Linked DNA regions of Oryctolagus cuniculus. The protein of the gene in region 1 interacts with the protein of each later gene in a biochemical or structural test. Links are inferred from orthologs where the notes say so. Each region holds a gene or a part of one and is shown on either strand. Other genes may lie near its edges. The genes, in order: GRB2, WAS, CSF3R, SPRY2, MAP2, LAT and PTPN11.

Region 1 (3,416 bases):
GAATGCCAGGGCCACTGGATTGTCTTCCCCCAACCCCACTTGGTATCCTGCACTCCGGCTTCCTTGAAGCCCAGTCCTGCCACCTGCTGGCTGTTTTTGGAAAGTGTTGGCTTCTTTAGGCTTTAATACTGAAGGAGGGCCTTTGACGTTAAAATTATCTATTTACTTATTTGAAAGAGTTGCAGAGAAAAAGAGAAATCGGCTGCAATGGCCAGCACTAAGCCAGGCTGAAACCGGGAGCTTCCTCCCAGTCTGCCACGTGGGTGGCAGGGACCCAAGCACTGGGGCCTTCGTCTGCTGCTTTTCCTACGCCATTAGCATCCAGACTTGACCGTCGCTCGTATGGAATGCCAGCATTGCAGGCGAGGGCTTTACCTGTTATGGCGCAATACCGACCCAAAGGAGGGCTTTGAGGAACACGTGCTCACTGAGTCCTTGGAGGATTCAGCAGGGAACGGGACAGCAGGTGTCACTGGCAGCTCTGTGTTGCTGGCCAGCATTAAGGGGAGTGGATTTTCTGGCGATGGAGGGTGTGGGGACTTTGGTGCCTGGGCCTCTTTTGCTGTCCCAGTACATCCTTTTTCCCCCCACGGCCTTTATCCCGTGAGTAGAACTCAAATCCCCAAGTGGGAAATGACTGGAGTATTTCTGGTACCTGGAGCTTTGTTGAGCGTATCTGCTTCCTCACCTTATTTTCTATCCCACCTTTGAGATTTTAATTATTTTTGCTTGAAGCGTAGTTAATTAAGGTATATTCCTTGTCTTAAGTGAGGCTGATGTAGTTGGTACAGTGCAGGGCACAGCATGGGTTGGGACATTCCTTTTTTTTTTAAAGGTAATTTACATGAAGGGCAGAGTTGCAGAGACAGAGGAGATAAAGACAGAGAGCGGTAGGGGCGGCGGCGGGTGGGGGGGGTCTTCCATGCTCTGGTTACCTCCCCACATGGCCGCAATGACGAGGACTAGGCGGGTCTGAAGCCAGGATCCTCTTCCAGGTCTCCCACACGGCGGCAGGGGCCCCAGATATCGGACCATCTTCTGCTGCTTTCCCAGTTGCATTAGCAGGGAGCTGGGTCAGAAATGGAGCATCTGGGGCTTGAACTGACACCCGCATGGGATGCTGGTGCCACGGGCAGCGCCTCTGCGCAGTGTGCTGCAGCGCCGGCCTCATTCTCCATCCCATAAATGCCTGTAGAATTAGACCGAGTGGGGCCTGGCCTGTCCCGTGAGGGCTCTTTGTGTTGTTGCGGGTGACCGTCAGTCACGGTGAGGGTCTCGGCACGCTCAGCGGCCGTCCCACCCTCTCCAGCCAGGCTCAGTGGCGTGTAGCCAACCGGCCCGCAGGCTGTGAGGAGCGTTGCCAGACAGTGGCTTTCTCTGGACCCCTCCTGTTTGGCAGAGGGCCTCATGGGCCAGGCCAGAGCCCTTTGACCCACGTGCTGTGTTCTCTGCCCCACCCCCAGGTTTGGAAATGACGTGCAGCACTTCAAGGTGCTCCGAGACGGAGCGGGGAAGTATTTCCTCTGGGTGGTGAAGTTCAACTCCTTGAATGAGCTGGTGGATTACCACAGGTCGACGTCTGTCTCCAGAAACCAGCAGATATTCCTGCGGGACATAGAGCAGGTGCCGCAGGTAAGGCTGGGGCAGAGTCGGGCTCACCTCCAGCGGTTAGGAGCAGGTGCCTTTCAGAGGGTCACTTCCAGCCCCCGTGCTCAGGACATCACCCTTAGCTCACACAGAGGCCTGCGGTTTGCAGTCAGGTGTGTGGCTCGCTCACCACCTGTCTGTCAGCTATTCTGTCCCGGGAAGAAAACTGTGAGGGGTGTCCTGTAGGGAGGGTTGGGGCCTGTGCTCGCACCTGTGCGCCTGTCCCTGGCGGCCCAGCTGAGTCCACCACCTTATGTTTTCAAGCTCATCCAGATGTTTTGACTGCAAACCCTCGAGGGTGTTGGCAGCGACAGGAGCTCAGAGGTGTTGGATCCTGGGCTGTGCAGGAGCCCAGACTCCCAGGGGTGCTGACTATGCTGCTGACACGCCCTGGGGAGTGCAGCCCCCGAGCGTGGGTGCCCAGCGCAGGAAGGACTCCAGGCTCGGGGTGTCACACGCGTGTTTTCCCTGCTCCTCTTTTGCAGCAGCCGACGTACGTCCAGGCCCTCTTTGACTTTGACCCCCAGGAGGACGGAGAGCTGGGGTTCCGCCGGGGAGATTTCATCCATGTCATGGATAACTCTGACCCCAACTGGTGGAAGGGGGCTTGCCACGGGCAGACCGGCATGTTCCCCCGCAATTACGTCACCCCCGTGAACCGGAATGTCTAAGAATCAAGGGGAGGTTATTTAAAGCCGTGAAAAGTTGAAAACACGAAAGAATGACAGCCCCGGGCTGCCTCTCCCAGCAGCCTTGCAGGAGCCCGGACACCTGGCTGGGTCACCTCACGCCCGTGACTCTCTGACCTGGGTTGGAACTTCGGGGGGTGGGAGGGGGCATTGGATATAAAAATGCCAAAACTTACCTATTAAGAAAAGAGTTTTTATTACAGATTTTCACCGCTGCTCCTTTGCCCCGCCTTTGTCCTTTTTCTCGTCCTTTTTCTCCCGTTCTTCAGTGCATGACGTGTAAGGCCACGTATAGTCCTAGCTGATGCCAATAATAAAAGAAAAGAAACCACGTGCGCTGGTATCTTCTCTATGCAAAATGTCTGTTTAGTTGGAACAACTACTGCTGTGTTCTCCGTGCGTGCACACAGAAAGGAGCAGGCGGGCAGCTTCTGCCGGGTCAGGGTGGCGTCCGCGGGCCCAGCCTGGGGCTGTTCTGTCGGGGGTGGGAGGGAGGCGTGTCACCTGCCCCTCGGCTTCCTGAGAAAGTCGGACTGAAAGCCTCCGTCGCTGGCTCCACGTGGGAGCGGCGTCCCTGAGCATTGCTGTTTCCCATGGTGCCTTTCCCCATGTCCCGGGTTGCTTAGGAGGGATGTGTCTTACTTGTTTTGTTTTCAGATAAATTAAAGACAGTCCAAATTGGCCTTCCAGCCGGTTCGTCTCCCACTCTCTGTAAATCCTTTTCCCTCAGGGGAGGGGAAAGCAGGGTAGAGGGAGGAGACAGCGGAAGGCGGGGAGGGGGGCGTTCTACCCGTACCAAGCCAGAAGGCCAGGGTCTGAGGGAGCCGCCGGCCCTGGTGTGCCGGGGAAGGGCCGGCTGCAGCTCTACGGCGTCTGGCTGGATCTGAGTCCTTGCCTTGTGGTCCGGGTATTGTCTACCCTGCCGACCCCAGAGACCCCCGCTCAGACCCCTGGAGCCAGCAAGTCTCAGACACAGGAGAGCCAGTGGAGGAAGTGCTGTTAGGCTGCTGTTCTTGAGCTGCGGCAGGTGGGACTGTGGGCCTGCGTTAGGTTGCAGAAGGAGAGTATTTGTGTTTTTCT
Region 2 (2,897 bases), on another chromosome or scaffold:
CCAGCCCCTCGGAGGTCTGCGGTGGCGGCTGCAGGGCTGAGCTCTCTGGGGCCCCGGGAGTCTGCAGCAAGGAGAGTTTCAGTACTTCTTCCGCCCCTTCTTTGTAATTTTTCCTCCCACACGTCAATCCCTTTCAAGGCTCCCCACCCACCTCCCAAGCTTAGCACTAAACCCCAAGGCCTGGCACCCCCATCAGTCTCAGCCTCCGCCTCCCTGTATGCTGACTTGCACCTGACACCCCGGAGTCCCAGACCCCAGTCCTCCCTTCTGCTGGTCCTCACCTTGTTCAGCTGAATTCCCTGCCGGATTTGATCCAAAAGCGCCCCCCGACCCCCTCCAGAGGCCATGCAACCCCCAGACAGCGGAGCAAGTGGGGGCGGGGGAGGCACTGGCCCATCCCCGGAGCTGGGGGGTGGCGGTGGGGGAGGGGGCGGGGGAGGTGGAATGGCTGGTCCCCCAGCTCCAGGGGGCGGAGGGGGCGGTGGTCCAGAGCGGCCAGTGGCTGGAGGGGGTGGTGGTGGAGGGCCCCCTCGGCCTGGGGGTGGGGGTCCTCGGGGCGTGGGTGGGGGCGGAGCGCCCCCTAAAGGTACAGGGGGTAGTGGACCAGAACGGCCCTTGTTACCCCCCGCCAGAGGTGGTCTGGGGGGCTGGTTCCCTCCTCGAGATGGCGGTGGGGGCGGCTCTGTAGGGGGAAAAATAACACACAGCTGCTATTATTGTCGTTTTCTTGCAAGCTTCAGTTCTGTTCATTTGTAAAATGGGTCCCTCCGCCTGACCAATTCCCCACTCAAGCAGAACAGGGGGTTCTGCAAGGACTGGGTGGCTTCAGGGCTGGAGAAGAAGCGGGTGTAGAGAAGGGGCCTCACCTTGACGCCTCATCTCCTGCCGCACAGCCTCCAGCCCGCCCTGGTCCTCAATGAAGTCGTAGATGAGTTTGGAGGTCTCTGCATCAGTGAGTTGAGCCTCACTGATTCCTGCCCTGGAGAACAGGCTCCGCAGATCCGGGTCCAGGTTGTTCACCTGCCCCGGAAAAGGACCCAGGCAGGGGCGAAGGAATAAGGTGAGGAGGGAGAGGATAGGAATTGTCATTGGGTCCATCCTGGCCAGGGATGTGGGAAGCATGGGGTTTGGATATGGGCTCTGAGCAGTGATCTAGGAAAAGGTGGGTGGAAGTTGAGTGGGTACCAGGGGACTTTGGAGTTACTCACGTCAAATCCGTTCTGGGGGTCCCACCCCACGTGGCTGACATGTCTGGAGGAGGTGAGGAGACTCCAGTGAAGCCCCACTGCCCTTTCTTTCCTCCCTTCCTAGTGAGCCCTCCTACCCTCTCCTGCTCAAACAGATCCTGAGCGGCAGAATTAGTGAATGAGTCTAAATGAGTGCACGAGTGTGAGCAGTAAGAGAAAGAGAAGGGGTCTGTAGGTTTGATGTCGATCTGTCTACCTGTCTTCCCACCATCTACCCACTCAATTATCCACCTATCCATTCACACCCATCCTTTGCATCACTGATCTCTACAGACATCGGCCCCTCCCCATCAGCCCACACATGAGCCACCCCTACCATTTGCCCACTTGTCCACCAATCTGTCCTCATACACACTTGTCTGTCCACCCATCCATCTACCCTTATGCCCCCCTTTCCATCCTGCCGCTCATTTTTCTGCCTATTCAACCACATCATTCTGTTCACTTATCTACGGAACTGTCTTCACCCACATATCTGACCACCTCTCCTTTCCTATCCACCTTGTCTGCGAATCATTCAGCTTATAATGTCCACACACTCATCTGCTCAGCCATCCGTCTACCTGTCCACCACTGAAGTCATCTACCCATCTATCCACCCACCTACTCATTCATTCATCTACCCATCCATCCACCCTTCCACTCATCCACTTCCTGTACCATCAACCTCACTTGTCCACCAGCCTACCAAGGATGGGACTAAGGGACTAAGGTAAGACGAGACAGGTGCCAAGGCTACAAAATTTAAGGAGGCACTCACTCTCTGAGGCATGAATTCCAGTTGCACGACCCTGAGAGCAACTGCCTCCTTGAATTTTGCATGGTATGTGACTTATTTGCCTCTCTGTAGTCCCTTCCTTGCAGCCAGCTGCTCATCCATCTGACAGTTCTTCCATCCACCTAGCTGTTCAGCTCTTCATAAGCCACCCCCCTTCATCCCCAGGAATTGGTAGATCTACTGGGGAGAGGTTCTCACTTGAATCCACTGGGTGCCCCAATATCTGCTTTGCTGATCTTCTTCTTTCCAGAGCGTTTCTTATCAGCTGGGCCAGGAGCAGGTGCTGGGAGCCCACGGTATCGTGAACTTGTGATGTCAGGATTCTGGATGTCCACTGTCACCAGCCCCAAGGACAGTGGGCCAGTTTGTGGGCCTATGGAGAAAATAAGGTGACTGGACCATTAACCCACTTACCTACCAACCAAGTACAGGGGCAAGAAACAGGAAGACTGGGGGTGGGGGGTGGGGAGAGAGGGTCATGGAGAAAATGAGTGAGGGGTCCAAGTGGTTCAATGTAGAAATGGGTGGATCCCATAAACCATTAATAACCATTTAATTCGTGCTTATCACTTAAAGTATTGACTCAGTCATTCACTTACTCATTAATTTGTTAAATTATTCATTCACTGACCCAATTTTTCATCCAATCATTGCTTTCTTCACTGACTGGAATTTTATGTCATTTATTCACTGTTCACTCACTCACTTCCTATTTCATGCAATCTCCCATATCATCCATTTATTCTCGAACCCATTCACTGACACATCTACACACCCAGTCATGTATCTGTTTATGCCTTCAGCGTCCCACAAATTCATCCCCTCCTCTCAGCCATCTATCTGCCACCTGTCTATGCACTTATTCATCCAGC
Region 3 (3,021 bases), on another chromosome or scaffold:
AGGTCATCAGGGTGAGACTCGTACTGTTGGTGGCCCCGGCCTGGCTGGCAGCCATGAGGTGGACATGATACACACTGGCCGGCTCCAGGCCATGGAGGACAAAGCCGTGGGAGGAGGCATTCAGAGTGGTGGCTGGAAGTGGAGTGCAGGGTAAGGCTGGGCCCAGATGCTGGAGCCGTCTCCATGGTGCTGGGCACCCCCTCAGGCCGTCTGGGACTGCAGGGAGCTGAGGGTGGACTCACAGAATAACTGGTCCTGAGTGTTGGTCCAGAAGATGGTGTAATGGGTCAGGGGGCTCTTCCCCAGCTCAGGGGGCTCAGGCACCCACTCCAGTTGTGCCCAGGTCCTGTCAATGTGCTTGAGTTGCAGCTCCGGGGCGTGAGAGGGGGCTGTGGGAAGACAGAGGCACAGGGCGGAAGGTTCCATGCGGCTCCCTGGAACACTGCAGAGTGGGCGAGGAAAGGGATTCCGAGGGGGCTCATGTCCAAGCCTCACCTCTCCGGGGACTGTATCTGAACTCCACCTGCTGCTACTAAGTGGCTGAGCCAGGATTAGAACCCGGTTCCATTTAAACCACACTCCCTGACTTTTCCCACACCTGATTTTGTCCAAAGCACTACTCGGTTCTGCCATTCACTCTCTGAACTTCTGCCAGGCCCTCGTTCATTTTCTATCGCACCTGACACCTGTCAGGGCGGTTGATTGATTTTTCAAGACTTGCTCCCGGAATCCTGCCAAATTCACTGCCTAAGTTTTCCCACCTCACCACCTGATTTGTGCCCAGCTCTGGAGACCGGGGCGGGGGGGAGTGGGTGGGTGGGTAATGGTGGGATCAGGTGAGAGCCTCCGCAGGGCCAGAGTAGGGGGGAGGGAACTGTCTCATCGTTTTCCTGATTGCTGGGGCCCAGCTGGGTGCTGGCTGGGGAGGAGAGGACTCTGGGAGGGGGGCTGACGGCAGGTGAACCTGTCTCCTGGGAGTAGGCATAGATGTGCTGGGAGGGTCCCACGGCTGCCTGGTACAGCGGAGTCACGGCGATCTCGTAGACTTGGAAGGGCCTGACGTTCTCTGTGCAGAGAGAAGGGGGCAGCACTCGGGTTAGGCCCTGCGCAGGAGCCAACCTCAGCTCTCTCTTTGCAATGTCTTTCTCAGGTCCTTTGATGGGTGTGAAAGATGAGGAGTGGAAGGAGAGCTGGAAGGATGCGGGGGCCGGGCTGCAGAAAGAGTGCAGAAGTGAGTGCTTCATGGGAAGGACTTCCTGGGCGTGGGGCTCTGTGACACGGACAGTGAGTTTGCTTCCCTACCCTGGCTCTGCCCCCCCCCCCCCCCATGGGAATGCACTGCCTCGCCCCACCCCCAGCCCCGCCCACACCACTGCTCCCGCCTCACCTCGAAGCAGAGTCCCTGTGAGGTTCCCATCCTGCTCCACCCTCCAGGTCTTGCTGCTGCTGGGGCTGGGGGCACCTGGGCCCCACTCAATCACATAGCCCTGAGGCTGAAGACTGGGGGGCTCCCAGCCCACCCAGAGGCTGTGGGGGTCTTGGCCCACAGCATGGAGCCCAACCAGGGGTGGACCTGGAGAGACAGAGTGGGAAACTGTGAAACGAAAGTGAAAAGAATCCAGACTCCAGAGCCAGAAGCCTGGGTTCGAATCCTGACGTTGCTACTTCCAGGCTGGGCGACCTTGGTTGGGTCGATATCTGAGCCTTGCTCATCTGTGACGTGGAAACAATGACCCAAGTACCCAGCTCACGGAGTCCTGGTGCAGATTCAGTGAGCTGATGATGCACAGGACAAACCTGGCTTGGGGCCAAGTACGGAGTAGCAGTAGGGGAATGAGGACTGCTAGGGCTGGTAAGAGCCAGGCCCCGTGCTGTCCTCGTATTTGCTAGCTCACTCACCATCACACCAGGGAGGGAGGTAGTACTATTGTCTCTATTTTATCAATGAGAAGGTGCAGAGAGGTCAGGCAGCTTATCTAAGGCCACACAGCTGGGAGGTGGAAGTGTTAGCTATTGCGATTGTGATTGGGATCAGTGGTCCTCCTGGTGCGGGCCCATGTTTAGGGGATACTGGGGTGCTGAGGACTGATCCCCTAAGACTGAGCCATTAACTCACGGACCATGCTCTGCCAGAATGGATTGTGTGTGTGTGTGTGTATGTGTGTGTGCGCGCGTGAGTCTAGACACCAGCACCACCTTAACCTGGCTCTGATGGACATGAACGTTAACATGCACCAAGCAGTTCCTTTGTGCCAGGCGTGTGTCTTAGTTAATGTGTTCCTCACAGCAGTCCCCAGCAGGCAGTTATCCCATTTTTCAGATGAACAGTGAGGCCAGTGAGGGGACGTCGCCTGCCCGGTTCACACTGTCACCAAGTGGTAGGATGACTTTTGAACCCAGCAATCTGGCCTCCAAACTCACACGCCGTAATCATGTGCTCTTAGCCCCCTGTACCTCTGTGCTCCGAGAAGATCACTGGGGCGGGCTGGGAGGCCCCAGCGGTGTTGTAGGCCACCAGGGCCACCTCCCCGGCTCCTGGAGGCAAGTGGAAGGTGCAGCCCAACTCCGTGGTGTTGCAGAGGGGCAGGGCGGCCCCAGCCTGGCCTGAGGGTTTCCAGGAGACCAGATACCCTTGGATTTGCCCGCTCTCTTCCTCCTGGGGTGTTGGCTGTGACGGGTGGCAGAAAAGCAATGATAAGCAGGTGCACAGCTCATCTTGAGTGAGGCCAAGCCTCCAAAAGTGGGGTGGATGGGACCTAGAACTGAGTCCCAGATTGGGGCCAGGCTTTTCATCCCTCACTCCTTCCCCCTGTTCCCTTGTGCCAGGTTCTAGGAAGCGGGGAGGGAAGAAGCAAGTTGGCGCGTACAGAAAGCACTTAACTATCCGCTGAGCTGACCCTTTGGGGCATGGGTGACTCCTGCATTGTGGCTTCCCCCAGAGGTCCCCATGCAGCTTCCTGGGCACATGCAAAGTGCAGGCAAATCACATTTAAATGCAAGCAAGCCCTCAGACCTGCAGGG
Region 4 (4,425 bases), on another chromosome or scaffold:
ACATCAGACACGTGCAGTATGATTTAGCCAATATTCTGTGACCTTTTCAGTCCTGCAGGATGAAGATGACATGCAAAAAAAGCAAACGTCCCAAGAACAGTCACAAATTTAACAACAATGTGCCATTTTTATTAACTACCTAGAAGGGCAAGCTACAGAACTAAAAACAAATCAAATCAAACGCTGTTAGGTGCCAGGAACAGATCACAGCAGAGGTACACAACGAGGAACAAGAAAGACAGGGACTTATTCTCAAGTTCTCAGCAACCTGGGGCTCATTTTACAGCCTGATAGCCCGGAACACCTCAGGGTCTGCAGCTAAAGGCTGTTCTCCCCGTTTTAGGCATAAAATGTGTCAAAATCTTAACTTTTCTCCTCTCGGAAAGTTAACAGTCGAGAGCATAAACCCACCGTTAGTACAGGAAACGTGTTTTAAAAACCCAAGCGCCACATCTCAAACCCAGCATTCTGTCCAGCAAACCCGTGGCTCGCAGCCCCTTTTAAGTCTCAAAACTACCATCCCCGTTCCCAACACTACACGAACATTAAAAAGTCAAAACGGGCAAAAGTGCATGTTTCCCCAACCTCCGCTTTTTACAAAAGGCAGCGCCGCGGTGAGCGAGGCAGGTGACAATCGCCTCCCAGCTCGCGACCAGGCAGCGCCTGGAAACCGGATCTCCTCACCTCTAGCAGGACAAGCACACAGGACAACGCGGCGCTCGGCTTCCCCTCGGTCTATCGGCTCTATCTGCGCCCAGACACCGTCCCCGGCAGGTGGGACACAGCCGGAGCCCGGGGGACTTTTCTCCAGGCTGACTGACGCTGTCCAGGGGCCAGGGGGCCCCCAGCCCCGCCGCGCCGGGGCCGAGACGCACCGACCGGCGGGGGGCGCGGGCGCCTCGGAAGGGGACGTGTCATGAAACGCACGAGCACACTTCCCCCGCCTGCCCCTCCCCAGCTCCCGAGAACCGCCTGCCAGCCCCAAGAGGGAGCCGCGCACCAGCAGGCAGAGGTCACGCAGCCCACGACGCGTCTGCAGGGGTCCGCGAACGTGGAGCTCAGGTTTCCAATGGAGCCCGGGGAGTCTGACCCACGCGCACGCGGCCACTGCACGCCGCACCGACTGAAGCGGGCATGGCTTGTAGCGCGCACGCCGGTCTCCTGGGTCGAGGGGAAGGGAAACAGGAATGATCTGTTTCTTAAAGTTTAATTAAAAAAAAAAAAAAAAATAACCCGTCCCCCTCCCCCAGGGCCCAGAGCCTACGCCAGGCGTGCAGGATCCAGTCCCTGGGTTGGAAACTTTAGAGGTAGATTTGCATACAGTGTAAAGTAGCATCTTTGGGAAGCGGAAAAAAAAAAGTGATTTCTGCCGATCCCCGGCCTCCTCCTTGCAGCCCCCCCTTTCCCCCTCGGCTCTCTCCCCGTCTCCCCGGTCCCCCCTCCCTCTCGAAGTGCTTTGAAAACCCCATTAAGAACAGTGTGTGATCAGACTGAGGATTAGGGGGGGAAAGGACTTCAGCACTTAGGGTGGGGCAAACCGACACAGAAACCGCTTTGTAAAAAAAAAAAGTGCACAAGATCCCAAATTAAACGACAGCGACTACAACATAAACCGGAGAACTTACAAACGAGCCTCATCTGCCACCTACTTTCAGGTCATGCAAAACGATCGCACACACTCGATGACTTTCCTAATGTACTAGGTCAACCCAAGCTCTCCCCTCCACCCCCCCCCCCCCAAAAAAAGCGTGACCCAGGCCGATCACGGGGAACGGAAAAAGGAGAAAGCTGCACTTCCGAACCGCAGAGCCTCGGCGCCAGGCTGGGCGACGCTCCCACCCTCAGTGGGCCAGACTGTCCACAGAGGGCAGCGGCGGGGGCTGCCTGCACCACGCACCCTCGCCCCTTTTCCACCCGCGGGGCCTACTGCCCGCGTGGGGCGAGCACCCCACGCACCCCGGCCCCACCGGCGCCCCCGCCCCGGGACAGGCTCCCCCAGAAAACTTTGCCTCGCAAGGAGGGAGGAACAGGTTAGAAATGCTAGCGCCCGCAACGGCGGCCAGAGAAGCACAAAGTGCTTTCCCTCCGTCTCCCGCTCTCAGCGCCGAATTCGCGGTCGACGCAGGGCTGGGAACAGACCAGGGGAGAGCCGTCCTCCGACCCAAGCCCACAGCGCGCGGGAGCGCAGGGTCGCCGGCTGGGGGACATCGCTCGGGGCGCACACTGCAGCCCCCTCCCAGGCAGGCCGAGCCCAGGTCCTCGGCCAGGGAAATCTGCCGGCAGCTCGCCGGCAACCTGCGGGGTTTGAGAAAGCGAGGCTCGGGGGAGAGGCAGACCCCACTCCCGGTCCAACTGCACCTACTCCATGTTGCCCACACCGCGCCAGCCACGGCGCCAGCAGAGGAAGAGCGAAACGCGCCTCACCGTGATCGCGGCTTTGCACCAACCCCTCTCCCTTGGAGTCTCTTCTTTCTGCGATGTGCAAATAAATCCAGCCCCGATGCAAACTTTTTTTCCCCCCTTTTTTTCCAAACTTTGCTTCAGTCCAACTTTCGAGCAATCGGCGGGAGGAAACAAAACAAAACAGAAAAATACGAGCGAAAAATTCGGAGCCAAGTCCCTCGCCGATGAACAACTCCGGGTTTCAGGGCTGGAGGCGAGCCCCCTTGCAGAAGCGCACGCGGAGTATTTCCTTTTTTTTTTTTTTTTTTCTCAATGAACAAGAGGCCGAAGCGCCAACAGCGAGTCCCCGTTCTTGGCAGATGAGCGAATGAGAAAATAAAGTGGCCTTACAGAAAGACCCTAGAAGCCAGATCGCCAAGGCGTGCGGCCCCGGCCGCGTCGGCGCAGCGGTGGCACGGAGGCGCGGGCGGCCGCGAGCCGGGCCGGGCGGGCGCGGGGGCCTGGGCGCTGCGCGCTCCGCCGGCCCCTCTCCTCCGCTCGCGCTGCGGCGCGCAGCTCTGGGCGGTGCAGACTGGGCGTTGTGGAGGCTCGGCAGCGAGGCCGAGGCGGGGGCGGTGGGTGCCGAGGAGGAGGAGGAAGAGGAGGAGGAGGAGGGGGAGGCGGAGGAGGAGGAGGCGGAGGAGGAGGGGGGTCTGGGGCCCGGCCGGGGGGGCTCGCTGTTGGCCTGCGCCCTCGCCTTTCCGGAGGAGGCAGGGAGTTCTGCGGCGGCCGCGGCAGCAGTAAATGGCGTCATGTGGATCCGAGGCGGAACAGAGCAGTTGTTGTCCCAGAGGATATATCGCATCCGGTCCCAGCTCATTGGCTCCGCGGGGCTACATTCACTCACACTCCAGCGCCCGCCAGCGCGCCGAGCCGCAGGAGGCATTCAAAAGGGCAACCGCGCCGCCCCGCGCGTCCCCGGGCCGCTCCTGCCGTCCCGCGGGGCGCCCGCGGAGCCCGGCTGCGCGCGACGGGGTCGGTTTATCCAGCTTCAAGGAAACACTGACCTTAAGGCCCCCCCCAACCCCCACCCCTGACACCCCCCGAGGCCAGGAGGATGAGCCGGAGGCTCGGACTGATTTATGGAACTTTCTCTCGCCGCCAGAGAGACTGATCGGGGCCGTGCCGCGTTAGCAATGAAAAACAAGTTGCAGGTTTTTAAGACTTCATCCGGAATCCATTTCGAGTCTGCTCGCCCCTCGGCTGCTCCCCCTCTACACGGTGGGGGTGGGGGAAGGGGAGCGGGAAGTGCGGTGGGAGGGCTATTGGTTTATTCTTTGTCTCCCGGATTAACCCGATTATACACCAGGCACCGGCCCCAGCCGCGCCTCCCCCACCTCCGAGCCTTGTACGAGAGGAGCGGAATGCAGATTCGGGTTTCAAGTACCTCCTGCTCAGGCTGGATTGTGGCGACTGGGAGTTTATTAGAATTTTCGTGTTTTAAGGGAGACAGACGGTGGCTGCAGGGAGAGCTCTCTGCGTCGCCGGACGCAGCAGCCGAGGGAGAGGCTGCAGCCTTGCTCTTCAAAGTCAGCTCGGCGATCTCGGGGCGCTGTCGTGGGCTTCCGAGATGGGGGTGGGGGGAGGGCGCTCCCGGCGCGGGTCTCTCCGCGGCCCGGTCAGCAGTCATCTGTCCCTTCCCACCCTTCTCCGGAAGCCCCCACGGCCCGTGCTGAAGGCATTCAGTAGAAAGTCCTATACATATGCACGTGCATTTGCTCAGAAACGTGCCTGCACGTGGGAGCCCCGGTGGCGGATCGAAATGCGCGCACGCACACCTCTAACCGCGCATTCTGAGGACTTAAAGGCGGGGAAGCAGTTGCCTGCTAGGTCGCAGGTCCCGAGCAGCACCTGCACAGCTCTGCCCCACACGGGGGTCCACCATGGCGCTTCGTTCCTCCACGCGACCCCGGGTTCCTGCTGCAGAATGTCCCTGGCGCTCTCCCTGCCTTCTCCATGTTTCTCTAGGGCTCCCTTCCTTCC
Region 5 (4,440 bases), on another chromosome or scaffold:
GCAGATATTATGAAGTAACCATCTAACCACATTTAACAACTACTTAATTTTAAATGCCAACAGTGCAACTATATTTGTCAAAAGTATAGTAGTTCAGTCTAATATCTAATTGTTAGTAAAATCCAACACAAAATACGCATGTTCACACAAAAATATGCAAAAATACATCAACAAGCATTTTCCTTCCTTTTCCCTTTGGACATTCAGAAAAATTTGCAAATTGGTTTAAACCAAAAGGAGTAAAGGAATGAAATTGTTCCTTCAGGCTTAGCCGTATTCTGTGCCAAGTTTCATTTCTGGCTGCATACTTCTGACCAAGTTCAAGATCCCTGCAAAGAAACACATAAAAGAGAAAATATCCCCTTAGCCTCAGGAGAACAACATTAGTAGAGGCTGCTATGGGAAAAGAAAGGCTTTTGCCCTGAAATGGGTGTGCTCTTGGTGTCTGGTTTCCACTGAGAGGATGCCTGCTCTTTCAATGAATCTGAAGTACCTACTAGGATGAGGTAATGGCTGTGCCAGTTTCACTGGGTCATGCTCTCTCAGCACATTCCTCTTGCCTCTCCTCCCTGACAAGGTGCTGTAAACAAGTCATCCCGAAAGAGCTGCTGCAGAGAATGAACACATCCTACAGTCAAAATTCCTGAGAACACAGGCTCTGCTTCTGGGCGTCTAGACAGAACTAGATGCCTAAGGCAGCAGAGGCCCAGCCAGGAACCAACGGGTTTGATAAGAGGGTAAAAATGAACAGAATAACAGAGAAAATAGAAAGTATTATAATTTGTTATGTTTTAGAAAGAGACCTCAGTTTTTAAAATTCTTGACGCTCTACATAGATGTTAAATAATTATCCACTTGCTGATTAAAAAAACAAAAACTTTAGAAATTAAATATTATACCAACCTATGAAGTATAAAAGAATTAACTATAAACAGCATGTGCCCCTGATTCTAAAACCACAATGGCTCTGATAGTACATAAACCAAGAATGCAGATATAAATCTATGATAATCAGATAAAGACTCCAGGAAATCCATGTTAATTCTCATGTACACACATGCACAAACACAATGTTCTTTATTGAAGAAAAAAAACACCTTTTACCTTTTCTTGAAGGGGATTTGCTTTCTGTACATGGAGGTTGATTGAAACACCTGTGACTTATAAATTGAGAAGAATTCTACTAAAATACAGATAGTTATTACTCAGTTAAAGGGTGTATTTTTTTACATTCGGTTGGAACACCAATCTTCCTCTTAGGCATAACATCAAAAGTGATCTAAATGGTTTCTATTTGCTTAATCTATTCTGACTGCCAAAAATATCCTAAATTGCCCACAGTGACATGACTGAGTGACAGAGCTATGCTTTTAAACTGGGCTGGTACCTACAGCTCATGTATGGGACATTTTGCATAATGTGGCTCACATAAAAGGCTTTGTTCTCCATCGCCTCACTGTGGCTGCAAACCTCAATTTCAGTTTGCAGTCATTTCCTCTCAGGCTGATCATTTTTCAATAAATTATATCTTTAACATTTAACCTAGTTCCTTCCCAACACTGACCAGCCAGCCCCTTTGCCTCACATCCAGGCTTACATACCACCAGCAATATTCGGTTAATTTTTCGCTACAGCTTTCATTCACAGTATAGTCCTCAAATCCTCAGAGAAATTTCAAAAGATTTGTCTTTTAAGCATCAACTCCCTTTTGGAAGATGTACATAGTACATGATACGTGTGTATACGGGTGTGTGGGTGTGTGTGTGTGGGTGTGTGTGTGTTCATTGAAACAGAACCCCTTCACACCAATTCGGTTTTAAAAAGGTCTATGTACTGGAAGCATTCTACTAAGGGCTTAAGGCAAAAGGTACACAGTAACTGTCTTAAACGGCCTTGCTGCTATCAAAGCTTTCTATTTTCTAAGTCCTGGAGGCCCGGTGCCCAGCAGAAAAACATGAATTTTCCGTTTTCAAGGATGGTGTATCTCCCCTACTCCATCAGCTTTGCTACCCCTCCCCCACCACACACACCCAAACACACACCTCCTCCCTCCTGGTCCCCCACGCGCTGTTTCTTGAAATTTCCATCCTTAAACAAAAGGCGAGGTTGGGAAGGAAAGGAAGCCTGCGCTGTGGTCCCCCCCGCCCAAAAAAAAAAAAAAACACCTTTTAACAAGAAAAAGAGTTGAGGGACCGCGAATGTAGGGTTCTACCTCTACGGTTATAGAGGAGAAAGAAAGAAAGACGATGTGGGAGCTCAGGCTAAAGCAGACTCATTTTCTCCGTGCCCCACCCTCCTACACCATCACACTGACTTCTTCATTTTCCTAAAATTATAAATATTTATTCGTCTTCCTCTCAGCTGTCTCTGGAGGACTGACAGAGGGGGATATAGTTTGCAATGGACAAAGCTTCTCTCACACACAGTCCAGTGAGGTTCTCTGCAGCTAATGCTTTTTAAAAAGCCTCTACCTCGAGGTTTTTTGTTTTCTATTTTCGTTGTACAATCTCCTCCCCTGTTTTCTAAGGCTCAGGTAATGCTAGCGCTCAAACATGTATCCTTATCCAATGTGAATTTCCAGGCGTTTCAACCTGGTACCTAATAAGATCACTGGCTTCTCAAGACAAGCCGAGAGCCCAGGTACCAGTGCCCGGACCCGGGACACTTGGAGAGGTCCGGCCAGGCGCCTCCGTCAGGTGGGAGACAGGACAGCTCGGCCGACCTGTGCCAGCTCTCCAGTCCGAGAGCTGCGGACAACCCGCTACCCACTGCCACCTCTCATCCCGGGCTGGGGCTCCCTCCGCGCACACAGGAGACAGGAGAGGCGTTCTAAGAGTAGGAGATGGGGACAATCTCTTACCTGAGCGCAGAACTGGGCGCACCCGCGGTCGCGGCTGCCACGGCTCACGGACCTGCGAGAGCGAATGCACTCAGGAGGAGTGGAGGGGAGAACGGGGCGGGAGAAGAAGGGGGAGGGAACGAAGGAGAGGGAAGCGGCAGGAGCAGAATGCAAGGGAAGGGAGAGGGGAGGATGCTGCTGCCGCCGCCGCCGCCGCCGTGAGCCCGCGCAGCCCGCGCGCCCGCCCAGTCTGAGCGCGGCGCCCCAGCCGCCGGCTCCCAGCGCCGCCGCCCCGCCCCGGCCCTTCCTCCCCGCCCCGCGCTGGGCCCGCCGGACTCTGCGAGCCGGTCGGCGGCTGAGGCCCGGCTGGCGCTGCCACCGCCGCAGTGTCCGGGAGGGGGAGCGCGGCGCCCCGCCTCCTGCCGCAGCCAGCCGGCCGCCCCGCGGGGACAGCGAGGTAGCCCGCCTCCGGGAGCCCCGCCCACGGACGCTGGGCCGGTGCCCCAGCCCCCCACCAGCGAGACCCCCTTCCCTAAGGGCCTTGGAAATCAGGGGCCATAGCGGTAGTGTCACCAAAGAGCCCGCCTTGGACGCCCTTCCTTTCCTACCCTGTATGCCTGTAAGGGGGCGGGGGGGGGGGGTGTCTTCCAGGGACCCTTCAGTGGAGGAAGCTCCCTGGCCTTGCAGCCAGAAAGCTAAGACAGGTGCATCCAGGAAGAATCAACGAAAGAAAACTAAGAAAGCACGCGGACAGAGGACAACTCCTGTCAGCGCTAAAGGAGCAATGGCTGAGACGCAGAGAATTCTAGACCCAGCTGTCACTAATCAGATTGTTCATTCAACTAGTATTTACTGAGATCTGCGGTGCATCGGCTGCTGTTCTAGGCACTGTGGAAATATCAGTGCATGTAACAGATGCTAGCACTCCCCACCCCCGGGAAAGAAGATCCCTGCCTTCAGAGACTTCACATTCTAGAAGACAGTTCATGCCATGTAAATCCCCGTGCATTAATGTGTCAGAAGAGGACTGAAAATGGCCATGCTACCTCTCTCTTATGGTCTTTGAGGAAAAAGGAAAATGACACAACAAATAAGAACACGCAGAAAACACCTTACTATGTCACCATGTAAGAAGTCACCTCATAAACGCTTTTGAAAGTGAAATGACAACCAAGAAATCAGATGATCCCTTACTATGGAATCCTCACAAAGAGCAGCACTTTATTAAGACAAGTAAGAAGCAACCTTAAATTACATCAGGTGTTTGTAGGGAGTACTGACAAGATGTTTTCAAGGTCAGCCAAGGTAGTGAGGTGTGGCCACACAGTTTCAACAGTGCTGATGAAACAGCAGGTGCCATCTGGTTTTGCCACTTAAATGAGACACAGAATATGGAACATCACAGCTGATTTCTTAGGCATTGGTTCAACTTCCTCAGTTTTCAGATGGAAAAAGAAACCCAATTAATAGAAGCTACAAAGATAAGAAAGCCTGATAGAGTAGGATGTGAAATCTTAACTTCCACAGTCACACCCCACACTTTGTGTCCTGCTGGCCTCCACCTCACTTTTTCAAGTGTCCTAGTGATGTTTGAATGAGGT
Region 6 (4,623 bases), on another chromosome or scaffold:
GTCACAGAGACATGGACAGGTCGGGCCTCAAAACCAGCAACTCTGGCCGCTCACCCAAGCTCAAGACCCAACTCCAGCACCAACACTCTGTGCAACCTCAGGCAACAGAAAACGGCCCACGTGCTTGGGCCCCTGCACCTGTGTGGGAGACCCGGAAGAAGCTCCTGGCTCTTGGCTTCGGATCAGCCCAGCTCCGGCCATCTGGGGAGTGAACCAGCGGATGGAAGACCTCTCTCTGTCTGTCTGTCTCTCTCTCTCTCTCTGTAACTCTGCCTCTCAAATAAATAAAGTGGCAGCCCTCAGCCAGCACGAGACGCTGAAGTCTCTGTGCTTTGCCTCAGTGGCTGTCACAGCCTGGCCTCAGCCCCACGGAGGCATTTGCAGGACAATGGGTGACAAGTGAATGAATGGATGGATGGATGGATGGGAAGCAGCACTGGGACAAACTGATGCAGCCCAGGACTTGGGATGGTGAGGGACGGCAGCTTGCAGGTGCGGGAGCCAGGGACCAGCACACGTAGCAGGCGAGAAAAGCCCCGGGGTGAAACCAAACTGAAGGGAGAAAGGCAGCTCCAAGGGGAGCAGAGGAAAAGGCGCCCCCTCCCCCAGCCATGTGTGCGCGCACACACACACACACACACACACCATCAGGTCCTCAGACCGACCAGATGGCGGTGGGCACTGGGCACAGCGGTGAAGACCCTGCGGGGGATGCCCACAACCTGTATTCCCAGCTCAGAGAGCCTGGGCTGGAGCCCCCTGCCCCTCCCCCTCCACTCCCAGTTCCGGCTTCCTGCTGCGGTGTACCCTGGGAGGCAGCCGTGGACGGCTCGAGCGGCTGGGTTTCTGCCGCGCACATGGCTGAGTTCCAGGTTCCAGGCTTCAGTTAGGCTGAGCCTTGGCTGTTGCCGGCATCTGAGCCACTGCCTCTCAAAATACATTTTTGCAAAATTTCTTTTTAATCTTTAGTTAAAAAAAAAAAACAGAAATGTACAAGATGCTATTGCCTCCATGAAACAAGAACAGGGGGCTACAAAAAAGGAACATGCAGAGACCCAGAAAGAACTGGATAGGAGGGGAAAACATATATACAGCACAAGGGCTGCGAATAAAGGCAAGGACATCTCCCAGACAATAAAGGAGAAATCAAGGCCAGGGCAGAAGTCCGGCACCTGCAGCAGGGGAGCCCTGGAGAGGGAGCACAGGGGAGCGGGGTCGCTAAAACCTTCACAGGGCAGGGGAGCATGCGGGGGGGGGGGGCCCGGCACCTCCTGACTCACTGGAGAAGGCACTGTCTCGGAGACCAGGGTTTCCGGGCGCAGGGGCGGAGGGGCCAGGGCCGCTGGTGGCCGGGCTGTCATCGGGAAGCACCTCCCTGAGAGTGAACCAATGGGGGAGGGGGTGAGGAAGCTCGCCCGGGGCCCCAGCACCCACCTGCCCACCTGCCCCCTTGCCACTCACAGGTAGCCCTCATTGTGAGAGTCCTCCTCATCCTCATCTTCATCCGCGTCCTCACAGGCCAGCTCTGCGGGCAACGACACGGGGTGGGGAGAGCTCAGCACAGCCCGAGACAGGCCCCCGCCTCCCCACCCGGCTGGGCCCCCCAACCCCGCCGCCCCCGGCAGCCCAAACGCACCCTCGTTCTCGTAGCTCGCCACGCTCTGGGCTTCAAGGAGAGAGCAAGAGGGAAACTGAGTCAGCTCAGGGTTGGGCTTCCTCGGATGGGTGAGTGGGTCCCCTCCACCCTGTGCCTGTCCCCCGCAATTCCCCACGGAGGGCTGGGCTGGGGGTGGGGGGTCTGGCTCGGCTCCAGCCCCCACCCGTGTCTCTTGCCAGTTTGTATATCCCTGTGAGTTTGATCAAACCGCCCTGTGAGTAGTTGGAGGCACCCCTGCCTTCCCGGCAGAGTGGGGGTGCCCTGCCACACTTACCGCCACCAGAGTCCCTCCGGGAAGACGGCATCCGGTGGGAATCCCCAGGGGGCTGCGGAGATCTCCTGGGAATCAAAGGTCAGAGGTCACACTCAATGCCAGGAGGGTTACAGCAGGGCGGGGCGGGGGGCACTGGAAAAACAAGGGAGTAGAGAGAGATTTGGAGGCGAAGGAGTTGGGGGGCTACTCACGGGATGGGGAGCAGGTCTGGCTGGCTCAGGGGTGGAACGGAGGTAACAGCCGGCCAGGGGGCAGGGGTATCTGAGGACACAGAGCTGAGCTGGGAAGAGTGACTTCCGACCCGCATCTCCCGCCTTCCTCGAAGCCCTGGTGCCCTGACCGCCCCCCACTCCCCATCCCAGCTCAAGCCAAGGCCATGTGGGCAACCTAGAACGAGGGGACACCCAACGGAGGGAGCCTCTCTCCCGGAGGCAGGGGCGCCTCCAACTACTCACAGGGCGGTTTGATCAAGATGCTCCTGGGATACAAACTGGCAAGAGAGACACAGGTGGGGGCTGGAGCCGAGCAAGACCCCCCACCCCCAGCCCAGCCCTCCATGGGGAATTGCGGGGGACAGGCACGGGGCGGAGGGGACCCACTCACCCATCCGAGGAAGAGGCACTGTTGTAGGAGTCTGGGGGAAGAGAGCGGTTGGTGAGGCAGGGGCCAGGGCTCGGGGCGGTGGCAGGCGGAGGCAGGCGAGGGAGGCCGGGGACTGTACAGCGACTCCAGCAGGTGCACCCCCGCCCTCAAGCCCCTGCTCACCTGACAGCCGGCGGCAGCGCACACACAGGGCCATTAGCAGCACAGCCAGGAGCGGCCCCAGCAGGAGGCCCAGCGCCGAGTGTCCAAGGACGTTCACCTCCATCTGCTGGGCAGAGCCTGGCCCAGGTCCTCAGGGAAGGGCGCAGCGGTGGGGGGTAGGGGGCAGCGGAGCCCTCTGTGGGGGCTGGGCTCTGTGCAAGCTCTGGGGGACCCTAGCCCCCTAGGTCAGGCCAGGGCCCGGGCTGGGGTCCAGGGCTCCAGCCACGCCATGCAAGCGTGAGACGGGTCCCTGCACCCCAGCGGTACCTGCCCTGGGCCAGACGCCCGCCTGGCCTCGCCTCGCCTCGGCGCCCGTCCTCGGCAGGAAGCTGTGGTGAGCACCGGGTGAAGGCAGGAAATCATCGGGCTCCCAGCCCGCTGCACCGCCCCTTCCCACCCCCACCCAGCCGGTGGGGAGGGGGAGGCCTCCCCGTCAGGGTTCTCACGAAGGGACACTTGCCCGTGGGACGAGGGGCAGCTCCTCCGTGGGAGTGAAGGCCTGTGGCAAGCCACCGGGGGTCGGGGTCGGCGGCAGGCATTCCGCCAGGCAGAGGGCAGCGCCCACCCCAGCTCGCCCAGGCTGGCCAGGGGTTGTGTGCGGAGGGGGGGGCGGGCTCCAGTAAGCCCGGCCGTGACTCAGGGTCACACGGAGCCAGCTCACTGGCACGGCGGTCCTCACTGCTGGGCGCTTAGCCCCACAGCACAGGGACTGGCCCGGTGGCCCCCCGGCAGCGCCCCCGCCGCCCCCAGGAGCCCTGGGGCTGGAGATGGCCAGCCAGAGGTCAGGGGTCACCAGCATCCAGACAAAAGACTCAGGTAGGCACTTGGGGTCTGGCTACAAAGTTTATTCGGTTACAAATAGCACCAACCCCCTGGGGCTGCTCCAGTGGAGGGGACCCCACCCCTCCCCACCCCAGACCCCCAACTCCTCCCCTAGGCTGCCCATGTAGTGTCTGGGAGCTGGACAGGGCCCAGGGTCCCTCCTGGAAGCTGGGCCGGGCTGAGGGCTTAGGCCCGGGCACCTCGTGGGACGGGCCCCAGGGCCCGCGGCGGCAGATGTGCGGACAGGTGAGGGACGGCCACTCAGATGAGCACACTGGACACGGGGACCCTGGTGGAGCGGCCACGCTGCGGCACCACGATGCGGTCATCTGCGGGCCCTGCCTCGGCCAGCAGACCTGTGGGGGGCGGGGTCAGAGCCAGGGCTGGAAGGTCAGCTGGAGCAGACCCGCAGAGCCACCACCAGGAGGAGGACACAGAGCCGCCAGCCCCAGCGCTGAGACAGCGGCCGGGAGCCAGGGCGGGGCCCGCACTGACCCTGCACGTGCAGCTGCGCCCGCCGGCGGTCACCCTCGATGAACATGGCGGTGCCCAGGAAGGCGGCCCCGCCCAGCGCCCCGACGAAGGCGCAGAGCATGAGCGAGAACTGCAGGGCCCGGAACTCGGACAGGAAAGATGGCGGCCAGCTGCGGCGGAGGCGGTCGGAGATCTGCGGGGGGCAGGGCGGAGCGTCGGGGGCGGCCGGGACAGCCATGGGAAAGGGGTGGGCCCTCAGGGACTCTGCCAAGACAAAGCCCTCCCCACCCAGGGGAGGCTATAGGGTGCCCAGCGCCTGCAGCCGCCCAGGTAGGCCACCGGCCAGTGCTGGGAGAACAGGACCCCCAAGCCCGGGGTGAGGCTCACCAGGCCGATGAGGTAGGGGCTCCCAGCGTCGCCCAGCAGGTGGGACAGCACGATCTGGAAGGCTTCGGCGGTGGAGCGTCGTGTGGGGATCACCACGTACTGGGGGAGGGGGGAGGGAGGGGCCTCAGTGGAGGCTCTCGGCGAGGTGGGGGGGAGAGGTGGCGCAGGACAGGGCCATGGCTCAGCCTAGGCTGAGATCACAGGT
Region 7 (3,851 bases), on another chromosome or scaffold:
CAAACTGAGTTCCAGGCTCTGGCCTGGCCCAGTCCTGACTGTTGTGGCCATTTGGGAAGGGAATCAGCAGATAGAAGCCTTCTCTCTGTCTATCTCTGACTCTCTTTCAAATAAAATGAAAATAAATAATAATAATTTATTTAAGTTTTCAAATGCAGTTTCACCTTCTCTTCTGTGCTGCTAGGAAACGAAACTTTCTTCAATTCCACACACACATTACTCTGCTGATAAAAATTCAATCCTATTTTTCTTTATAAATAGACCACAACATTATTTTGAAAAATTCTATCATCTGCCACTGTCATAAGGGTGAACTCCGAAATAGCAACAACTTTAATGTCCATGTGGTCACCTAACAACAACCAGAGTGGATCCATGCTGAAAGCTTCCTCTAAAGCCATCAGGCTCTTCACAGACACCAGTGGAATTCCACAACATCTGGACTTGGTTTCCAGACACCACGGAGGTGGCCAGTGAACACAGCATACAGAAGGAAGGACTAAAGAATCAGTTACAATTGAGGCTGAAGAACGAGCACATGGACGTTGACAGCGCTACTCTGTCTACCCCTGTAAGTTCGGAAAACTCTAAATTGGGGTTTCAAAACTTTAAAAGGAGAAGGAGCTGTAGCTTTCTGAGCCACTTACCTGCTTGAGTTGCAGCACTGTGCCCAAGGTTTCTACCATAGGATTTTTCTTGTAATGTTCCACCAGATCTGTCAGAGAATCAAACCGCTCTCCTCCACCAACATCGTATTTCAGTTCCTTTCAAGACAAAAAGACGGCATGTATTACCTTTGTGTTTAACTATTGTGCTTCCTGCATTCCTGTGTTCGCGGCAGCAATATCTACAATAGATGGGATACAGAAACAACCTACACGTCCAGCAACGGATCAGATGAATAAAAATGGGGGAGGGGGGAGTGCTATGGGACAGAAAGCTAAGCTTCTGCCTGTGGTGTTGGCATCCCATAGGGGTGCTGGTTCAAGTACTAGCTGCTCTTCTTCCGATCCAGCTCTCTGCTATAGCCTGTGAAAGCAGTGAAAGATGGCCCAAGTGCTTGGACCCCTTCACTCACACAGGAGATCCGGAAGAAGCTCCTGGCTTCAGATCGACCCAGCTGCAGCCACTGCAGCCATTTGGGGAGTAAACCAGTGGATGGAAGACCTTTCTCTCTCTCTCTCTCTGTAACTCTACCTCTCAAATAATAAATAAATCTTTATTTTAAAATGTGGTGTGTGTATGTATATGTGTGCATGCACAAACACTGGAAAATTATTCGGCCATAAAAGGGGGGAGGGGGAGCAAATCTTGACATGTGTGACAACATTATACTTGCAGACATTACATAAGTGTAAAAGGCCAGGAAAGAAAGGCAAACACTTCATGAGCTCACTCACAACTGGAAGCTAAAAACACACCCATGGTGACACAGAGCAGAACAGTGGTCACCAGGGGCTGGGGCAAGGGGCGGGGCTGGCCAGAGTGCACAGCTTTCAGTAGGATGCGGAAGCGCAGGGGCCACAGTCAGTAAAAACGTCTTGTCAGACTGGACTTTGCTAGAAGAGTAGATCTCAAGCATTCCCATCATGGGGGGAGAGGGGGTTGTTAGGCATGATTTAATCTGCCAGAGATAACCTGGAAGTAAATAACTCAAAAGAGTTTTGAAATCCTGAAACAGTTATAATCAACATACCACAAGTGCAGAAGCCCTTGACTAAGCGCAGAAACGCTGACCTGGGCCGCACAGCATCTGTCTCCTCGCAGGTGAAAACCCCCCAGGGTGACAGTTTGCAGCCCTGCAGGCCGGGCGGAGCATTACCTGACAGCGAATCATGACGTGGGTCACCTTGGACTTGCCGTCATTGCTCTCCACCTTGTCGTCGCCAGTGCGGACGGAGAGAACAAAATCTCCAGGGTGGCTCTGGCTCTCGCGGACCAGGAAGCTGCCATGTTTTCCTTTCTCAGTCAATAATTTCTCTGCTTCTTTCCCAGAGAGGTGCCCGTGAAACCACCTGGTTTTAAGAATGAAAACAAATTGAGTTCCACTGCCAGTTCACAACATTCTTTTCTAAAACTACCGTAAACACTCCAGTCATTGCTAACGTTTCCTGCAGAGTAAAACCCCAGGTGAGGACCACTGCCTCATTCATTCACAAGCAAAATTCATAGCCTCACCACATTTTCCCTACTCAAGACAGTATGCCACTGGATTAACTGGCTTGCTCTTGCAATTTCGTATGATATTTTGCAGATCCTATCTATGATTTCATATGATCGTCCACACGTATGTTCTGGATACAAAGCATCCTTCTCATCACTGAAATGATTTTTTTTTTTTTTTTGACAGGCAGAGTGGACAGTGAGAGACAGAGAGACAGAGAGACAGAGAGAAAGGTCTTCCTTTGCCGTTGGTTCACCCTCCAATGGCCGCCGCGGCTGGCGCGCTGCAGCCAGTGCACCGCGCTGATCCAAAAGCAGGAGCCAGGTGCTTCCTCCTGGTCTCCCATGGGGTGCAGGGCCCAAGCACTTGGGCCATCCTCCACTGTCCTCCCGGGCCACAGCAGAGAGCTGGCCTGGAAGAGGGGCTACCGGGACAGAATCCGGCGCCCTGACCGGGACTAGAACCCGGTGTGCCGGCGCCGCAAGGCGGAGGATTAGTCTACTGAGCCACGGCACCGGCCAGTCTGAAATGATTTTTAAGCATGGCACATGGCACTGTATGGCAGATTATATAGAAAGTTTATATAAATTTCAAGGAAATAGCAATCAATCAATAAATAAATAAACAAAAAACTACCATATATAGTCAGCTCTCCTAAGACAATTACGAATTAGTCCCGGCAAGGGACTCATCAATCTCACATAAGACAGAATTTGCAGTCCAGGAAGACGGGAAAATGACAAAAATGTTACAATGACCACTCGACTTTTTAAAAGAGCCCACAGTCATTTGGAGACAAATGTCTTCCAGTTTTTCAATTAAATCTCTCATTTAAAAAAAAAAAAAAGATTTATTTATTTATTTGAAAGTCAGAGTTACACAGAGAGAGGAGAGGCAGAGAGAGAGAGAGAGAGAGAGAGAGAGAGGTCTTCCATCTGATGGTTCACTTCCCAAATGGCCACAATAGCCAGAGCTGCGCCCATATGAAGCCAGGAGCCAGAAGCCTCTATCAAGTTTCCCACTTGGGTACAGGGGCCCAAGGACCTGGACCATCTTCTACTGCTTCCCCAGGACATAGCAGAGAGCTGGATCAGAAGAGGAGCAGCCGGAGGCCGGCGCCGCGGCTCACTAGGCTAATCCTCCGCCTTGCGGCGCCGGCACACCGGGTTCTAGTCCCGGTTGGGGCGCCGGATTCTGTCCCGGTTGCCCCTCTTCCAGGCCAGCTCTCTGCTGTGGCCAGGGAGTGCAGTGGAGGATGGCCCAGGTGCTTGGGCCCTGCACCCCATGGGAGACCAGGAGAAGCACCTGGCTCCTGCCATCGGATCAGCGCGGTGCGCCGGCCGCGGCGGCCATTGGAGGGTGAACCAACGGCAAAGGAAGACCTTTCTCTCTGTCTCTCTCTCACTGTCCACTCTGCCTGTCAAAAAATAAAAAAATAAATAAATAAATAAAATTAAAAAAAGAAGAGGAGCAGCCGGGACCAGAATCGGCGCCCTTATGGGATGCTGGCGCTTCAGGCCAGGGCGTTAACCTGCTGGGCCACAGTACCGGCCCCAAATCTCTCATTTTTTAAAAACGCAATTTGCCCTTTTTGATTGCCCACTCTTAAAAGACCAATTTTTCTATCATAGCCACATAAGGAAGTTCTAATAAAACACTGCAGGGGCAGGCATTTGGCAGAGCAGTA

Evidence for each region.
Region 2: the proteins of GRB2 (region 1) and WAS form a complex in vitro, tested with the Homo sapiens proteins (2 studies listed by BioGRID). The link is inferred for Oryctolagus cuniculus from reciprocal best matches to the Homo sapiens genes GRB2 and WAS.
Region 3: the proteins of GRB2 (region 1) and CSF3R form a complex in vitro, tested with the Homo sapiens proteins (2 studies listed by BioGRID, with this or other methods). The link is inferred for Oryctolagus cuniculus from reciprocal best matches to the Homo sapiens genes GRB2 and CSF3R.
Region 4: the proteins of GRB2 (region 1) and SPRY2 form a complex in vitro, tested with the Homo sapiens proteins (2 studies listed by BioGRID and IntAct, with this or other methods). The link is inferred for Oryctolagus cuniculus from reciprocal best matches to the Homo sapiens genes GRB2 and SPRY2.
Region 5: the proteins of GRB2 (region 1) and MAP2 form a complex in vitro, tested with the Homo sapiens proteins (3 studies listed by BioGRID and IntAct). The link is inferred for Oryctolagus cuniculus from reciprocal best matches to the Homo sapiens genes GRB2 and MAP2.
Region 6: the proteins of GRB2 (region 1) and LAT form a complex in vitro, tested with the Homo sapiens proteins (3 studies listed by BioGRID and IntAct, with this or other methods). The link is inferred for Oryctolagus cuniculus from reciprocal best matches to the Homo sapiens genes GRB2 and LAT.
Region 7: the proteins of GRB2 (region 1) and PTPN11 form a complex in vitro, tested with the Homo sapiens proteins (4 studies listed by BioGRID, with this or other methods). The link is inferred for Oryctolagus cuniculus from reciprocal best matches to the Homo sapiens genes GRB2 and PTPN11.

The regions. Positions count from the first base shown.
Region 1 is NC_091448.1:5,230,562-5,233,977, forward strand, and holds the end of GRB2 (growth factor receptor-bound protein 2), read left to right. Parts: intron 1-1,463; coding exon 1,464-1,632; intron 1,633-2,132; coding exon 2,133-2,318; 3' UTR 2,319-2,667; downstream 2,668-3,416. UniProt on the Homo sapiens protein: Non-enzymatic adapter protein that plays a pivotal role in precisely regulated signaling cascades from cell surface receptors to cellular responses, including signaling transduction and gene expression.
Region 2 is NC_091453.1:33,876,177-33,879,073, reverse strand, and holds part of WAS (actin nucleation-promoting factor WAS), read right to left. Parts: intron 2,399-2,897; coding exon 2,224-2,398; intron 1,252-2,223; coding exon 1,209-1,251; intron 1,021-1,208; coding exon 867-1,020; intron 683-866; coding exon 1-682. UniProt on the Homo sapiens protein: Effector protein for Rho-type GTPases that regulates actin filament reorganization via its interaction with the Arp2/3 complex. Important for efficient actin polymerization. Possible regulator of lymphocyte and platelet function.
Region 3 is NC_091438.1:136,224,782-136,227,802, reverse strand, and holds part of CSF3R (granulocyte colony-stimulating factor receptor), read right to left. Parts: intron 2,669-3,021; coding exon 2,455-2,668; intron 1,574-2,454; coding exon 1,388-1,573; intron 1,067-1,387; coding exon 965-1,066; intron 390-964; coding exon 243-389; intron 133-242; coding exon 1-132. UniProt on the Homo sapiens protein: Receptor for granulocyte colony-stimulating factor (CSF3), essential for granulocytic maturation. Plays a crucial role in the proliferation, differentiation and survival of cells along the neutrophilic lineage.
Region 4 is NC_091440.1:31,925,884-31,930,308, reverse strand, and holds the start of SPRY2 (protein sprouty homolog 2), read right to left. Parts: upstream 3,103-4,425; 5' UTR 2,425-3,102; intron 1,372-2,424; exon of another isoform or gene 685-1,371; intron 1-684.
Region 5 is NC_091434.1:30,478,544-30,482,983, forward strand, and holds the start of MAP2 (microtubule-associated protein 2), read right to left. Parts: upstream 3,087-4,440; 5' UTR 2,861-3,086; exon of another isoform or gene 2,582-2,860; intron 1-2,581. UniProt on the Homo sapiens protein: The exact function of MAP2 is unknown but MAPs may stabilize the microtubules against depolymerization. They also seem to have a stiffening effect on microtubules.
Region 6 is NC_091450.1:7,782,664-7,787,286, reverse strand, and holds the start of LAT (linker for activation of T-cells family member 1), read right to left. Parts: upstream 3,051-4,623; 5' UTR 2,800-3,050; coding exon 2,697-2,799; intron 2,566-2,696; coding exon 2,535-2,565; intron 2,422-2,534; coding exon 2,387-2,421; intron 2,193-2,386; coding exon 2,123-2,192; intron 1,997-2,122; coding exon 1,932-1,996; intron 1,667-1,931; coding exon 1,462-1,666; intron 1,376-1,461; coding exon 1,281-1,375; coding exon of another isoform or gene 1,269-1,280; intron 1-1,268. Other genes in the region: SPNS1 (protein spinster homolog 1), read right to left, coding at 3,819-3,913, 4,053-4,224, 4,419-4,517. UniProt on the Homo sapiens protein: Required for TCR (T-cell antigen receptor)- and pre-TCR-mediated signaling, both in mature T-cells and during their development.
Region 7 is NC_091452.1:9,757,489-9,761,339, reverse strand, and holds part of PTPN11 (tyrosine-protein phosphatase non-receptor type 11), read right to left. Parts: intron 2,016-3,851; coding exon 1,823-2,015; intron 765-1,822; coding exon 648-764; intron 1-647. UniProt on the Homo sapiens protein: Acts downstream of various receptor and cytoplasmic protein tyrosine kinases to participate in the signal transduction from the cell surface to the nucleus. Positively regulates MAPK signal transduction pathway. Dephosphorylates GAB1, ARHGAP35 and EGFR.